2 linked regions of the Elephas maximus indicus genome follow. The protein of the gene in region 2 interacts with the protein of the main gene of each other region in a biochemical or structural test. Links are inferred from orthologs where the notes say so. Each region holds a gene or a part of one and is shown on either strand. Other genes may lie near its edges.

The links.
Region 1: the proteins of CRY2 (region 2) and FBXL3 form a complex in vitro, tested with the Homo sapiens proteins (2 studies listed by BioGRID, with this or other methods). The link is inferred for Elephas maximus indicus from reciprocal best matches to the Homo sapiens genes CRY2 and FBXL3.

Annotation. Positions count from the first base shown.
Region 1 is NC_064832.1:70,175,573-70,183,756, reverse strand, and holds the start of FBXL3 (F-box/LRR-repeat protein 3), read left to right. Parts: upstream 1-4,960; 5' UTR 4,961-5,368; exon of another isoform or gene 5,369-5,411; intron 5,412-8,184. UniProt on the Homo sapiens protein: Substrate-recognition component of the SCF(FBXL3) E3 ubiquitin ligase complex involved in circadian rhythm function. Plays a key role in the maintenance of both the speed and the robustness of the circadian clock oscillation.
Region 2 is NC_064825.1:101,319,516-101,326,665, forward strand, and holds the start of CRY2 (cryptochrome-2), read left to right. Parts: upstream 1-4,049; 5' UTR 4,050-4,082; coding exon 4,083-4,297; intron 4,298-7,150. UniProt on the Homo sapiens protein: Transcriptional repressor which forms a core component of the circadian clock.

The sequences.
Region 1 (8,184 bases), on a different chromosome or scaffold from region 2:
AAGCTGGAAACACTATCACAGCAGGATTTCCCGTCAAGGAGGTGTTTGGAATTTGTGTTTTGAGTTTCCCACTATTAAATACATAGCAATAATAGGTTTGCTATAAAAATTTAATATTAAAAAGGGAGATTCAGAAAAAGAAAATACTTTTGTGTATCTAAAAGGCACATCCATACAAAGCAGTGACTGGTTTTGAAGTAGACTTGCCATGGTATAGGTATGGAAGCAGGTACCGCCATGGTAGGGGAGCGGGGGATAGAGCACCTCTATGAGGCAGGAGAACAGAGCCTGTGTCACTGCCTAAAACCAGAAGCTTGTTGTGAATCTCTAACTATACAGCAGGTTTAAAAAGTTGGTGCCTACAGTTCTGGCTGATAGGAAATGTGTGCCCGCGAGGGAAGAGGACACACACACAGCTTCCCAGGCAGTACAGGACACAAGTTGCCCTTTGCTTCAGTTGCTGGGCCTGCAAGATAATAGACTGGAGACTCAGAAACACGAATATAAGACCTGCCCTAGACTGAGAGTCTGAGTGGCCCTAGACTGAGGGTCTGAGTGGCCAAGTGGAGGCATTCACACAAGTGTAGAGAGAGATGGAGAAAGGAGAGGGCACAGAAAGAATGATAAACAAAGAAATCTTTTGTTCTCAACATAAGCTTGCAGGTTAACATTTCAAAACTGATGGAGAAAAGCAAGGATGAGAATAGCAGCCAGCAAAATTAATAATTAGGGACAAATTTACTTCAAACAAATTGGAAATAATACTACAATATATAAATGACCTCAAAATTGAAATGTTTAGGGTCCTCAAAGATAAAGAAGGAATAAAAATCATTTTTAAATGATTTAAAAACTAGATGGATATAAGAACAAATTAGAAATTTGGGGAATGAAATGTTCAATAGCTGGTAGAAACTCTAGAAGGAGACAAAGAGAAAATCAATGAGTTGAAAGAAAGGCAATACACAAAGAAAGAAAAAGATAAAAACATGAAAGGACAACTAAATGTCGAAGATAAATTGAAAGGACAAAACATAAAGAGCTTAAGATCAAAATAGAAGAATTGGTGGCAAAGGACTATTTGAAGAGATAGTGGCTTGGGTTTTAATGTCAGGGAGGGACAGGAGATGAGTTTGTAGGAGAAGTGATAACTGAGATCCCTGCATAAAGCAAGAATTTTGAATATCTTCATCCTCCTTGAGGAATGGCTGGCCTAGGGCACATGGAGAAGAACAGCAAACTCCGAGTTAAAAAAAAAAAAAAACCTTTTTGAGAATTGAAAACCATGGGTCTAGTCAGAAAACAAAACAAAACAAAAAACAATTACGGTACATCCTACAAATACTGGACCAGTACTCCTTAACAGTGTGAAAGTCATCAAAAACAAGGAATTACAAGGCTGTGCATAAGGAACTAGGGCAGCATCACCTGAGCCATCCTGACCAGCAGTGTACCAAGGTGAAGGTTATGGTGGGGGTTGTCTGCCCTGGAGAATTTAAAAACAATTTGAAAAAAATGACTAAAAATCAGCCCGCTTTTTACTATCACCATGCACTGGCAATTCTAAATAAGATCAGTAATAAAATTTTCTTCCCTGCTGCACCAAACTCCTCCACAGTTAACCAGCCCCCCACAACTCCTATGCCACTGACCTTGACTAATACGACTGATAAATGTAAGTAAGGATTGTCTGCTTCAAAAATAAGCACAAGTTTCTTCTTTTAAAAAGGTGAAATAGAGAAGAAACCATTCTTTGATGGTTACGGGGGTGGGGAGGGAGAGAGATATTCGCTAATCAGACGGTAGACAAGAATTATTTTAGGTGAAGGGAAGGACAACACACAATACAGGGTAAGTCAGCACAACTGGACTAAACCCAAAGCTAAGAAGTTTCCTGAATACAACCAAACAATTCGAGGGACAGTACAGGCATAGGGGGTCTGGGGACCATGGTTTCAGGGGACATCTAGGTCAACTGGCATAACAAAGTATATTAAGAAAATGTCCTGCATCCCACCTTGGTGAGTAGCATCTGGGGTCTTAAAAGCTAGCAAGCGGCCATCTAAGATGCATCAATTGGTTTTAAACCACCTAGAGCAAAGGAAAATGAACAACAGCAAAGACAGAAGGAAAATATGAGCCCAAGAGACAGAAAGGGCCACATAAGCCAGAGACTCCATCAGCCTGAGACTGGAAGAACTAGAGGGTGCCCGGCTTCCACCGATGACTGCCCTGACAGGGAACACGACAGAAAATCCCTGATGGAGCAGAAGAAAAGTGGGATGTAGACCTCGAGTTCCAGTAAAAAGACCAGACTTAATGGTCTAAGACTGGAGGGAGCCCAGAGATCATGGCCCCCAGACTCTCTGTTAGCCAAAAACTAGAACATTCCCAAAGCCAGCTCTTTAGACAAAGATTAGGCTGGACTATAAGACATAAAATGATACCGGTGAGGGGTGTGCTTCTTAGCTCAAGTAGACACATGAGACTATGTGGGCAGTTTCTGTCTGGAGGCGAGGAGAGGCGGCAGAGGGGACAGGAGCTGGCTGAATGGGCACAGGAAATACAGAGTAGAGAGGAGTTGTCACATTGCAGGGAAAGCAACTAGGGCCATATAACAATGTGTGTGTATGAGAAACTGACTTGGATGGTAAACTTCTACTTAAAGCACAATAAAAAAAGAAAAAAAGGTGAAATAAAAGTTTTAAATAACAATTACAAGGATGAAGAAGGAGCATTCAGTGAGTTAGGTGTGTCAAGGTCCTTGTCTTGCACGAGAGGAGGGTAACCTGTAATGGGAAAACCCACGCTGGAGGGTAAAAGCTCTAATGTGATATTCTAGTTATGTTTGCTGATTTGGTTTAATGTATTTTGCTGATCATTTATACTCTTAACCTAGCTTTAAAGAAATGGGCCTGTTTTTCTTGCCTTTCTTAGAACTTTCTATTGTCCCTCATCATCTAGTCACAGAGGGACCTAAAAAAATGTTGCAGTTTAGGTACCTGGTCGCTATGAGTCGGAATCAACTTGACAGCAATGGGTTTTGATTTGGTTTTACATTATTATGTTGCTATAGATTTTGTAGTTTGCCTTGATGACCTGATAGTCAGGCCCTTAAAAAAAAGACTGTCATTTTCCCACACTGAATCTTAATGCTGTTTTAAATATCAATTCTTAGCTCAATTTCTTGAGGGAAGGGGAGGAGTGAAGGCTTCCCTGGACATCACTGCTATCAGTCTCCTACACACAGCCGAGATAGTTCAGAAGACGTCTTGGGATGGAAAATTACTTTCTTTTGCTTTGTTTTATGGGGTAGAGGAGGCAGAGTGCATGATTCAGTTATGTTTTTGCACATAGGACATTTCTAGCTTTAGGAAAACTCACTACCCCAAAATCTCAATTTTTAAAACAAGTTAACTAGGTAGCAGTTACACACAAAGATGCCTTGATTTACAAAAAGCATCACCAGAGGTTTTCTTTCAAATAGCTCTCTGCTCCTTTACTTTACTTTTCCCGTTACGTTTCAGAAAGCTACTTATAAATTCCAGGAGTTTTTTACTTCATAGAAGCCTTGGAGGCGCAGTGGTTAAGCACTTGGCTGCTAACTGAAGGTTGGCAGTTTAGCATTTCAAACCCACCAGCTGCTCCGTGGGAGAAAGATGTGGTAATCTGCTTCTGTAAAGGTTTACAGCCCCGGAAACCCTATACAGCAGTTCCACTCTGTCCTATAGGGTCACTGTGCGTCAGAATCCACTCAACCGCAATGAGTTTAGTTTTGGTTTGGGTATCTACTTCACAAGGAGCCCTGGTGGTGGTGCTGTGGTTAAGCGCTCAGCTGCTACCGAAAAGTGGACCACGGTTCAAACCTACTAGCGGCTCTGTGGGAGAAAGAAGTGAGTCTGCACCCATAAAGGTTACAGCCTTGGAAACCCTATGGGGCAGTTCTGCTCTGTCCTATAGGGTCACAATGAGTTGGACTTGACTCAGCAACAACAGCTTCTGGTTTACGAACCTGAAGGTTGGCAGTTCAAACCCACCCACTGGTGCCTCAAAAAAAAAGGCCTGGCAATCTGCTTGCAAAATCCTATGGAGTCCTACTCTGTAACATGCGTCAGAATCCACTCAGTGGCAACGACTTCAACTACTTCATAAAGCAGAGGTGGTTTTAAAAGAGTAATAACTCTGATTATAAAACTCATTTCAGGAAAATTGGGAAATACAAATATTTTAAAAATAAAAAAACATTCTGTAATTCCAGGGTTAACAGGTTACCACTCTGGTATGTTTCATTGCAATATTTTAAAAAATTACGTATATATTAGGTTTGTGTATTAAAACAACAAAAAAACCAAACCCATTGCCATGGAGTCGATGCTGACAGCGATCCTACAGAATAGAGTAGAACTGCCCCCATAGGGTTTCCTGGGAGCGGCTGGTGGATTCGAATTGCTTACCTTTTGGTTAGCAGCCAGGCTCTTAACCACTGCACCACCAGGACTCCTGTGTATTTTTAAAGCCTGTGGTTTTAACCCCTAAGGTTACAGATCGCAAGTCATGGCCCTCCCAAGTGCCAACACCTCACCCTGAGAAGTGTGTCAGCTGTCAACAGGTACTGTTTATCTTTCTGCCCGGTGGAACCGGCTGCCAAGTTACAAGAGACACTCTAGAGACACTCCTTCCTTTCTTTTCTCGGTTCCACTCCCTAAACTTTCTTTTCAGCCCAGACAGTCTCTTGGACAACCACCTAGCTCCAGCCCTCTCTGTCTGCTCCCAAACAAAAAATTCCCTAAAAGTAGCAGTCACTGCTGAGAGGGAGGCGGCGGACTCTCCTTTAGAAAAGAAGAGGCGGATGAACACAGCTGAGAGGCACAGACGTTCGACCGCTTCTGCGCGCGCTCCCACGTGGGCGCGGCCCCGCTCCTGTCCTCCCCGCCCTCCGCGAGCGCGCCAGTGGCGAACGCGCGCCCGCCCCACTCCGGCGGAGAGGCGCCGGGGAAAGCGCGCGGCCGCGAGTTACGGGCGCCATTTTGGACTCAGTGTCTGGACGGAAGCGCCGGGAAGCTACGCGGTGGCCGCAGCTCGCTGAGGGTGTCTCTTGCGGTGACAAGGGGTCCTGGGAGAAAAACGTAGGCGGCGTGAGGCTGAGAAGGAAGACTTCTCCCTGGGCAGCCAGAGCCGCGAAGGTGGAGCCGCGTTGGCGCTCGCTGCGGGACCAGCGCCTCGGATGCGGGCGGAGCGCGGGGGGCCGCGGCGACGGGAGCGCGAAGCCGGGGGCCTTGGGGGCCTCATGTGAGAGCCGCGGGACCAGCCGCCGCCGCCGTCCCCGGAGCCCGGGGTGGTGTGTGGGCGAAGCCGCCCACGGCAGCAGGTAACGGCGGATGGGCAGGACCGGAGCGCCGTAGCAAAGGCGGGTCAGTGGAGGGTCCACCGGCCATTTCTGGGCAGAGGAACGGGCGGAGGGGCGCGGGGTCCCTGACACGCGCGGACCGCCCCTCGGGAGGCCGGGCGGCGCCCAGACATTGGAGCCTGTTTGGGGGCGTTTCCCTCCGGTGCTGTCTTCAAAACATGTCAACAAGGCGTGGTGCGTGTGCGGCGGCCGCGTGCAGCCCGCCCCGCGACGCTGCCGCGCCCTGGGCTCGCCTCGGCTGTCGCCCGGCTTTACTACCCGCACCAGGGTTTGGTGACAGGCACCGTGGAGCTCGCTTTCTGCGGAGCTCTTCCCGGCGACGGCTACGCCGGGTTTGTAACTTGAGAAATTAGAAGTATTAAAACGTCAAAACAAACTGCCAGGGTAGAGCGCACGAGCTCTGTCCAATCCGTGGAGGTGGCGCAGGGCGGAGGGGAGGCGGCGACGCCCGCGCCGCGTAGCGGAGTGGAAAACTTGGTCAACTTGAGATGAGCAGCTTCGCGCCTACTTTTGGCGTGAGCAGCCTTTTTTAGGCTGCAGTTACAATGATCAGGCAGAGCAGCCCGCTAAATGATTGGTGTCAATCTCCCTGCCAGAAGTTGTCGTCCAATAATTAGAATCTTTTTTTGTAACTTGAATGTTAAGTAGTTTCTGCAATCGGTGAGATATTTCTAAAAATGCCACCAATTCCGAGGTATGTACGTATGACCATGAGACATTTTTCACCACGTTCTCCCTGCCATCCAATTCTGAGAGTTCAACTCTTACCACTCTTCTTTTCTTGTATTCCAGCTCAAGAAGGCATTTTGAAATTAGTCAAAGCAGAACATAAGTGGAAAGGAAATATGCCGAAACAGGCTCTTTTAGTTTTCCAGAGCTAAATACAAACGAACTTTTAAAATTATTACATGCCCAGGGTAGGTAAGGAGCTCTGGTGTTTCAGTAGTTATGCATGCCGCCGCTAACATCAGCCACACTCCTTGGAAACCCTATGGGGCAATTATGTTCTGTTGTATACCCAAAAACCCACTGCGGTCTAGTCGATTCCTACTCGTAGCAGTCTGTCGTTTAGGGTGGCTATAAGTCGGAATCAACTCGGTAACAGTGGGTTTGGTTTGGCTTAGTTTATGTACAAGGAGCCCTGGTGGTGCAATGGTTAAGTGTTTGGCTGCTCAGTTCCAGCCCTGTCCCAGTTGTGGGAGAAAGACCAGGCAATCTGCTTCCATAAAGATTACAGTCAAGAAAACCCTGTGGGGCAGTTCCCTGTGACATAGGGTTGTCGTATGTTTAAAATTGACTTGACAGCACCTAACAGTGGTTAGGAGCTTTGCTGCTAACCAAAAGGTTGGTTGTTTGAATCCACCAGCCACTCCATGGAAACCTTATGGGGTTGTCCTATGGGTTTGCTGTGAGTCAGAATCAACTCGATGGCACATAACAACAACAAACGTATGTAAAAGTGCCTGAAACGAGGGTGCACAGCCAGGGTTCTCTTCTGCTCTTCATCTGTTTGATGGTCAACTTGACTGCCCTTTCCAGAGTTACATGGAAATGTTGAGTTGGCTCAGTGACTTCCTGTGTTGGCTGCTATAGTTTTTCTTCATTAGGTTGCTTTTTGTCCCTTCATAGTCTCTCACCAAAAGCTGCAGTGGCCTAAATTGCGTTAATTATTCGGGACTTGGAAAAGTTGCAGTTGGAAATTAAATTGCCAAGGCTCTGCAGAGGCCTGGGTTTCATTGACGTTTATTTTCCAGCTCATCCGCTCCACGCCTCTTCAAATATAAAAGGCGTTTTAAGTAGGAGATAAATAAGTCCATTGACGTAAGTCATTTGCAGACTGGTGGATGTATAAATAGATATAATAAACTGCTTTTGAAAGCACTGTAAATTTTTGCATGAATAGATGAAGTCAACCTGGAAAAAACAACATTTAGAAGTTTTATTATGGGTCCACTCCCTTCTCTTATTTTTATGCATGTGAAGATAATAACCAAAAAACCTGTTGCTGTCGAGTGGGTGCCAACTCGTAGTGACCCTATAGGATGGAGTAGAACTGCCTCGTACGGTTTCCAAGGAGCGGCTGGTGGGTTTGAACTGTGGGCTTTTTTTTTTTGGTTAGCAACCAAGCTCTTAACCACTGTACCACCAGGGCTCCCTGAAGATAATACAGAGAACGTTTTTATCTGCATTTGGCCTTATATTTGTAGATGCTCTTTTTTTGATAGGTTTATATACTAATGTACTAATAAATTATGACACTACGGTTCTATTACATGAAAATTTAGATATTTGTTCAGCTATTCATAAACTAATAAATGCTTAAAATATACTTTTGTGATCATATAATCTTTTTATATCTCAGCTGAGAGAAATACAATTATCCCAGTATTGCATACTTTTTAATATTTTTCAGGTTTTTATCCCCTTCTCAACTTGGAAAAGTATTAAAATATACGTTGTTTAGAACAGGGCTGTAATAGACAAAGTAAGTACTTGTTGTTAGGACCAGCAAAGTGTTAACAGAGAAAATTGTGTGAATAAGGCGGTTGTTTTATTTCTGTTTATATGTCTAAGGTAAAATGGATACAGGCAGTTCTGGGTTACTAGCATCCTGACTTAGGGACAACTCTTTAATGTTATATAAATTTGTCCTCACTTTGCAGTGATTGAACCAACCCCTAACTATAAACCAAAATCAAACCCACTGCCGTCGAGTCGATTCGGACTCATAGCGACCCTATAGGACGGAGTAGAACTGCCCGATAGAGTTTCTAAGG
Region 2 (7,150 bases):
ATAAATTGGACCACATTAAAATTAAGAACTTCTATTCATCCCCAAACATTATTAAGAGAATGAAAAGCCAAGCCGCATTTCAGAAATGAGGAAATTGAGGAACAGAGAGGTGAAGTAACTTGCCCAAGTAAGTAATCAGGTAGTTGGAATGGAATCCAGGCCTTCCGGCCTTACAGTCCACGCTCTCAATAAGCTTTACGACTTCTCAAGCTGCATAGTTCAAACAATGAGCATTTTATGTCACTACATCAAAGTAAGCCTTGCGTAAAGTCTTGGAAATAGAAATGCCTCAGCTGCAAGCTCTTAAGGCCAGTAACTAAGGAGAGGAGTCTAGGGCCGGGGTGCTCTTGGCTCAGCCCGAAACTGGGCCACGGCTTCGTTCCCAGTCACACCACTAGAGGGCGCGGGTAACTTAAACTCGTCAGGGATGCCTCTCCTTTCGGTGCTTGGTTACCTTTCAACCAGTCATCAAATATTTACTCAATTCGCGGTTCAAAGGGAATATGAAAGTTGTCTCATCTAGTCTCCATGCAGGACTTTAACAGAGAGGGACAAACGTGAACAGATCTGTCTTCTTAAGTATCATCAGGGAAGAAAGACACCATCCACTTCCAGGCTAGTTGGTTCATCTTTAAAACCACCTCTTACTCTCCTACTTTAAGCCTTTCTTCTTTTGGTCTACCCTTCCTGGCAACAAGGAGCAACTGTTTGGCATCCTCATAGCAACCACTGGTCAGAAATGCTTGTAAATAATGAGATGTCCTGGCGTAGCTACGAAAAATAATGTCTATGGCAATTAGTTTTAAATTGCTGAATGAGCTGTCACAGCTAGTGATAGAAACCGCTCGTTGGTGCCATGCCCCCTCAAGTGGCACCCAGGGCACGTGCCATACCTGCCATGCTTAGATACGCCTCGCCCCCAATGACATTTCACTTCCTAAGCAATTTACACATCTCTTTGGTCTCACTCCAATTTCTCCCTGTCCGTTTCAAAGTGTAAAGACCAAGAGTGGACTTTGCATTCCAATATTCTATCCAGTGCCGGATTTACTTCCTGGTTTTTGAACGTTACCCTGGTAATAAACCCAAGCAATATGCAATTTAAAAAAAAGTCTTCCTATCAACTTGATGGAGGATTATATGGTCATTGAAATAACAAAGACATAGCAACATAGAATATGCTTAATACTTTAAGTTTAAAAAGAATCTACAAAACTGTGCCTCTGCTTTGATTAAAGCCATAAAACTTAGGTGCTTATTGACAGAGCCTAGGAGGAAACTTGGGGAAAAAATTGATTTGTTAGGTTTTTGGACTTGATGGCAATTATTTCTCTTCAGTTTCCATTATTGGTATAATGTTGACGACCCTTTAAAAAAGTAAGTAAAATCTTTTATTCGCTCAGCAACTTATGAAGCATTCATTACACGTAAGACTCTGGGCTAGATGTTACAAGGAAGACAAAATCAGACACAGATCCTGCCATTCAAAATAATAGTAGCTGATGCTTGCTTAGTAAGTGCTTTCTATGTCCTAGAAATTATTATCATCCCTATTGTATGCATTAAGAAAGTGAGGAACAGAGAGGTTAACTAGCTTACCCAAGGTCACACACAGTTAAAGCAGAATGAGATTTTGAACTTAATCACTCCAATGCCTGAGACCTTGTGCCTGAGACCACTACATCATACTGCCTCTCAAAATAGCCTAATAAGATAGAAAGGGATAAACGGCATTCAGTCATTCAACAAATATTCACTGAGCACCTACTACATGTCAAGCACCAGGATAGGTGCTGGGAATACACCGATGAGCAAGACAAGCACAGTCCCTGCCCTCACGGAGTTTACAGTCTACAGATAAAGCATTATGGGAGTTCAGAGGAGGAAGAGAGTACTCATATTTGAGGCTACTTGGGGAAGAACCATTTCCTGCTTTCTCTATTCTATTCCTAGAAGAGCATCAACCTTGTGGAGAGAAGAGGGGCACAAAAGAGGTGGGAACACAAAGCCTGAAAAGAAAAGTAACAAGAGGTGGCATCTACTCATTCAGCAAGCATTTGGAGAGAAGACTCAAAAATAAGGGCAGAGTCAGGTGAGGGGGACTAGAATAGACCTTTAAGGTCCCTGACAACCTGAGACTCTTGTCCTTGTTCAACTTTTACTCAAATAATCCTTGAGAATCAAATACCAAGCACTGGGATAGACCCTGGAAATACATTTGTAAAGCCACAACCCCTATCTTTCAGGAGCTTATAGTCTAATGGGGCAGACAATTAAGCAAGCAATTCCAGTACCATGTACTAGGGGCAGTGATAAGAAGAAGGGCAGAGTGAAATGGGGCAGTATGCAAGACACCCAAGATGACATCTATACTGAGCAGTGACACAGGATAAACTGGAGTTAGAAAGGGTGTGGGGTGGGGAGTGGAATTCAGGTGGAGGGAACAGCTTGTGCAGAGCCCTGGAAATGAGAGAGAGCCCACGATTTCAAGAACACTGGTTTCTAGAGCAGTGCCAGTTAATGCCACTAAATTGCTGACTTGAGTTCCTTCATCGCCCATTCCCAAGTTCAGGAAGAGTTGTGAGCATAGGTGCAACCTAGCGTGAGACTGAAGAAGGCTGTTCTCCACCAGGTAACCCCAGAGCTACAGCCTGACTAGGCCATCTTAGTCCACCTTCAGTACTTCGTTGTGAGTGTTTATATGCTTCTCTTGCCAGTCAGCTAGCTCATCAGCGAGCCTATGCTGGACTTCAGAAGAGTAAGAGGACCCATCTGGCTTCCCAGAGGAGTGGGGACAGTGTCCTCCACATCTCTAAATCCCACACAGAATCCAGAACAATGCTTTGCATTTAATAGTACCATCAGGTCTACTAAATATAGAACTAAAAGAAAATCAATTCATCTGACGGCATAATTACTATCTCAACCCACATCCTGCACATTCCCACTCCCTACTCCCAAACACTCCACTGCTGCATTATCAGGGCACGCCTCCTCCATTCCAGACTTTTTCTCTTGCAAATGCCAAGGAGCTCAGCACAGAGAGAAGCACAGCTTTGTGGATAAAAGCAGAGGCTTCAAAATGAGAACAATCTGGGGAAAAAAACAAAAAACCAAACCCATCGCCCTTGAATTGACTCCGACTCATAGCCCTCTATAGGTTGGAGTAGAACTGCCCCATAAGGTTTCCAAGGAGCGCAAGGTGCATTCCAACCGCCAGTCTTTCATCTAGCAGAGGTAGCTCTTAACACTACACCACCAGGGTTCCCAAATAATCTGGATAGAGTTCTTTTATTTGTTTTATGATCTTGAGCTAGTCAGTCAACCTGGAGCAGCCTCTGTTTTCCTCATCTGTAAAATTAGGGTAACAGCTCCTTGGTTGAATGAACAGAACTGGCTGAATGAAAGTAGTAAAGTAGAAAGTCTATGTAAGAAGATCACGTTGCTTGTATAGGAGATGCACTCCATAAATGGTAGCTTTAGTAGAATGACGTAGATGACTTAATAGAGTGGGGAACAGAGCAGCTGCGTATCTATGGGAAAATAATACCTATGACAATTAGATTTAACTTGCTGAATGATCTCTCAAAGCTGAAGATGGAAACTACATGGAAACTGCTCATTGGCGCCCCACCCTCCCCCAAGTGGCACCCAGGGTAGGTGCTATATCCTAAATATGCCCAGTGCTGTTGGCTGGAGTCATAACAACGCCCGCCAGCCCAGGCATCTTCTTCTAGCGACAGGCTCCGACTAGAACGCCTGGAAGAGATCCTCTGTCCCTTGAGGCCCGGCCTACGCCCTGGCCTCCACTGGGAACGCCCGCCTGCGTCAGCAGCCATGACCGCGGGCTCCTCCCAGGCGGCAGACACATGGTGGGAACGTGAGGGGGCGGGCCCTCATCTCGCGCCGCTGAGCCAATCGCCCGGAGGGAGGCGCTCGGCCAATGACAGAGGCGCTCCAGAGCCCCAGGGGCCGAGCTACGGCAAGCCGCGGAGGCGTCATAGGTCACTGGGCGGGCTGGAGGTGGGGCCCGCGGCGCTGTCGGGGGCGGAGCGCCGCCGGCCAGAGCAATCTAGGCGGTGATGGCGGCGGCAGTGGTGACGGCGGGAGCGGCGGCCCTGGTGCCCATTCCCAGCATGGATGGCGCCTCCTCTGTGCACTGGTTCCGCAAGGGGCTGCGACTCCACGACAACCCGGCGCTGCTGGCGGCTGTGCGCGGGGCGCGCTGCGTACGCTGCGTTTACATCCTCGACCCTTGGTTCGCGGCCTCCTCTTCGGTCGGGATCAACCGATGGAGGTGAGAGGGCCCGGGCGGGGTCGCAGGCCCGGGAGGCGCCGGCTGACCCCGGGCCCTTCCAAAGGGGGAGCCTCTGTCCCCCACCCACGGCCCGAAGACCCGGGCCTGAGGGAGGCGCGGCAGGGAGACGGAGCGGGGTCTCCAGAGGCGAGAAGTTGGCACCAGGGGGTTAGTTAGTCATCACGCTAATCCCTTAGGTGGGCGAGGACTCAACCTCTAAGAAGGGGCTTTCGCACCGTGTTTTATCCCCTTTGAGCCTCACACCATCCCTGTGGTGTGATCCCCATTGTACAGATGACGCCCTTGAGCCCTAGAGGCACAAAGTTGACCTGCCCAAGATCATGCAGCCAGCCAGTGGCAGAACCGGGACTCCAGGTGTCTCTTAGGGGTGTGCCCAGGGAGGGGAGGAAAAGGAGATATTGTGGCGTGAGGGCGGGGACGGGTTTCTGATCCTGGGGCAGAGCAGATACTCCCATTACTTCAAGTAAAGAGCCCATTGCTGAGCTCCTGAAGGTCACCCTTGGTTTGTTTTACTCCATCCTGACTTCCCCTCCACCCAGAAGGCCCTGCTTCTGGAGGTGTCTAGAGACCCTGGCTTAGCATTAGGTAAGGCAGGTGCCATCTCCCCCAAGGGCATCTTCAGTTAGAGGCACTGTGTGTCCCCAATTGTAGAGTAGTAGTACTTAACCCATTTTGGAGAATTCTGTTAGCAGCTATGAGCTTGCTAGGAAAAAAAAGCAACCAAACAAGGTATCGCCCGCTTCCTTCTCTCCTGTAAGATGATTTTAGAGGGCAGTTGAGCCCTTATAGATAGGCTTTTATGAACTGACACACCAAGGCAAGGGAGCAGGAAAGCTATGGTATCGGAGACCTCTCTTTGATGACTCCTGGGAGATGGAGTTGACAGGGACATGGGAAGGAATTAGCAGATAGGTAGCTGATGTTTTTTCTCCATAACCAGTGTTCAGGACCAAGGAGTTTGGAAACATTATGTACCCAGCACTTTTCAAAATGCCGTACTGCACCTGCTTGGTTTGTTTGCATTGTTCTGGGGGATGTTTGCTTATGCCTTGTTGCATCAATGGGCAGGGGTATTCCCAGGATACAGCGGCTCTCAGCACACCATGTTTTTGTTTTTTTTTTTTATCTCCAAGGTGTATGCCCTGCTAGGAGAGTGAGCGCTTTGTAAAGGGGGTCTATTAAATGCCCGCTCCTGCCCCATTTTTCTAGAGGGAACTACTAAAGATAGTCCTGTGGAGAGCCTGCCCACACAGTTTCCAGTCTGCCCTATTGTGCTGCCTTTGCTCCAGTTTCTATAGATAGGAGGCTGGGTTTGACAAACATCCTCAAATGACCATCTCTAGTGTAGACAATAAACCAAGCCTCAGACTTTGCCCCCTCCTGTGGCAGCGTGCCAGTCAGAGCAGAGTCAGTGGAATCTGTTTACTGTTACATTGTCACAAAGAAGTTTCTTTTATTCAGTTTCAAGGGACCTTGTAGAGGACTGCCTCCTTTGCTGTGGTAATGGGGGGTGGTTAAAAATCAACAACGAATGTTATGCTGCTGATTAAACTCAGGATAAATTTTTCTGGGTCACTCTCTTGTGATTGTGCTGTCGCGAGTGAAGGAGAAAAGGAATGTGGCAGGCCAGATGCCTGAGTCAAATCCTAAAGTCCGGACCTTGCAAGAATGTAGATGTTAATTGAGCAATTATTTAGCGGGTGCCTGATGTCTGCCAGGAGACCCTGGTGGGTAGTGGTTAAGAGGTGCAGCTGGTAACCATAAGGTTGGCAGTTGGAATCCACCAGGCAGTCTTTGGAAACCCTACTGGGCAGTTCTACTCTGTCCTATAGGGTCGCTATTAGTTGGAATCAACTCGACAGCAACAGGTTTGGTTTACTATCTGCCAGGCCCTGCTCTAGGTGCTGGTAGGGGTACAGCTGTGGACAAGCTGATGTGGTGTCTGTGCCTCCAGGGCTCCTGGAGCTACATTTTAGGGGAGGAAGACAAGTAAACAACCATAATTCAGTAGAACTAAGTGCCATGAAGAAAATGAACCGGGCTGAGCAAGAGCAGTGGTTCTCAGTCGCAGCTGCACATTGGAATCACCTAAGGACCTTTAAAAGATGCCTGGGTTCCCCATCCCCTACCACTGAGATCCTGATTTCATTGTTTTGGGGTACGATCTGGGATCAGGGCTTTAAAGCTCTCCCGTGCAGCAAAGCTTGAGAAAGAACTAGAGAACCACAGACCCAAGCCAGACAACCTGGGAAATGTGTTGCAGTGTGCTGGCAGGAAGTCTGATTCGTTTTGGCATTCAGAAGAAAGAGGTGAAATAACACAAAACAGATGGAATATGGTAACTGCTTCTGGGGCCTGGGAAGAGACACTCATACCACCCCCACCAGACTATTTGCTCCTCATGGGAGTGAGGGAGCGGCAGAGCTGCGGAGGGGTTTGTGCACCAGTTGGGGGTGAGGGGAAGTGGTGGAGCCCTACCTCCGCATAACTACAATGTGTGTAATCTTCCGGTGGCTGTTTTGGGATCTGGGAGTGGTCTGGGAGAATTGTGCTGTAGCATAATGTCTTAGCACTGCAACTGCTTGAATTGCTGCATCTAAGGAACCTCCCTAGGAATGGGGGGCCCAGAACCATTTGCAAGAGAAGGGGGAATCAGAATCTGTGATTTCTTTTGCTTCCTGCACTAACTCCTACCTACCATTTTTCTGTGGATGAAATCAAATTAAGATAGCCATGAACGTTGTTCTCTAAGAGTAAAAGAACAGAGAAAGGCAATGAAGAAATATGTGTATTTACTTTGGCCCCTGACGCCTGGTGACCTTATGCACAATG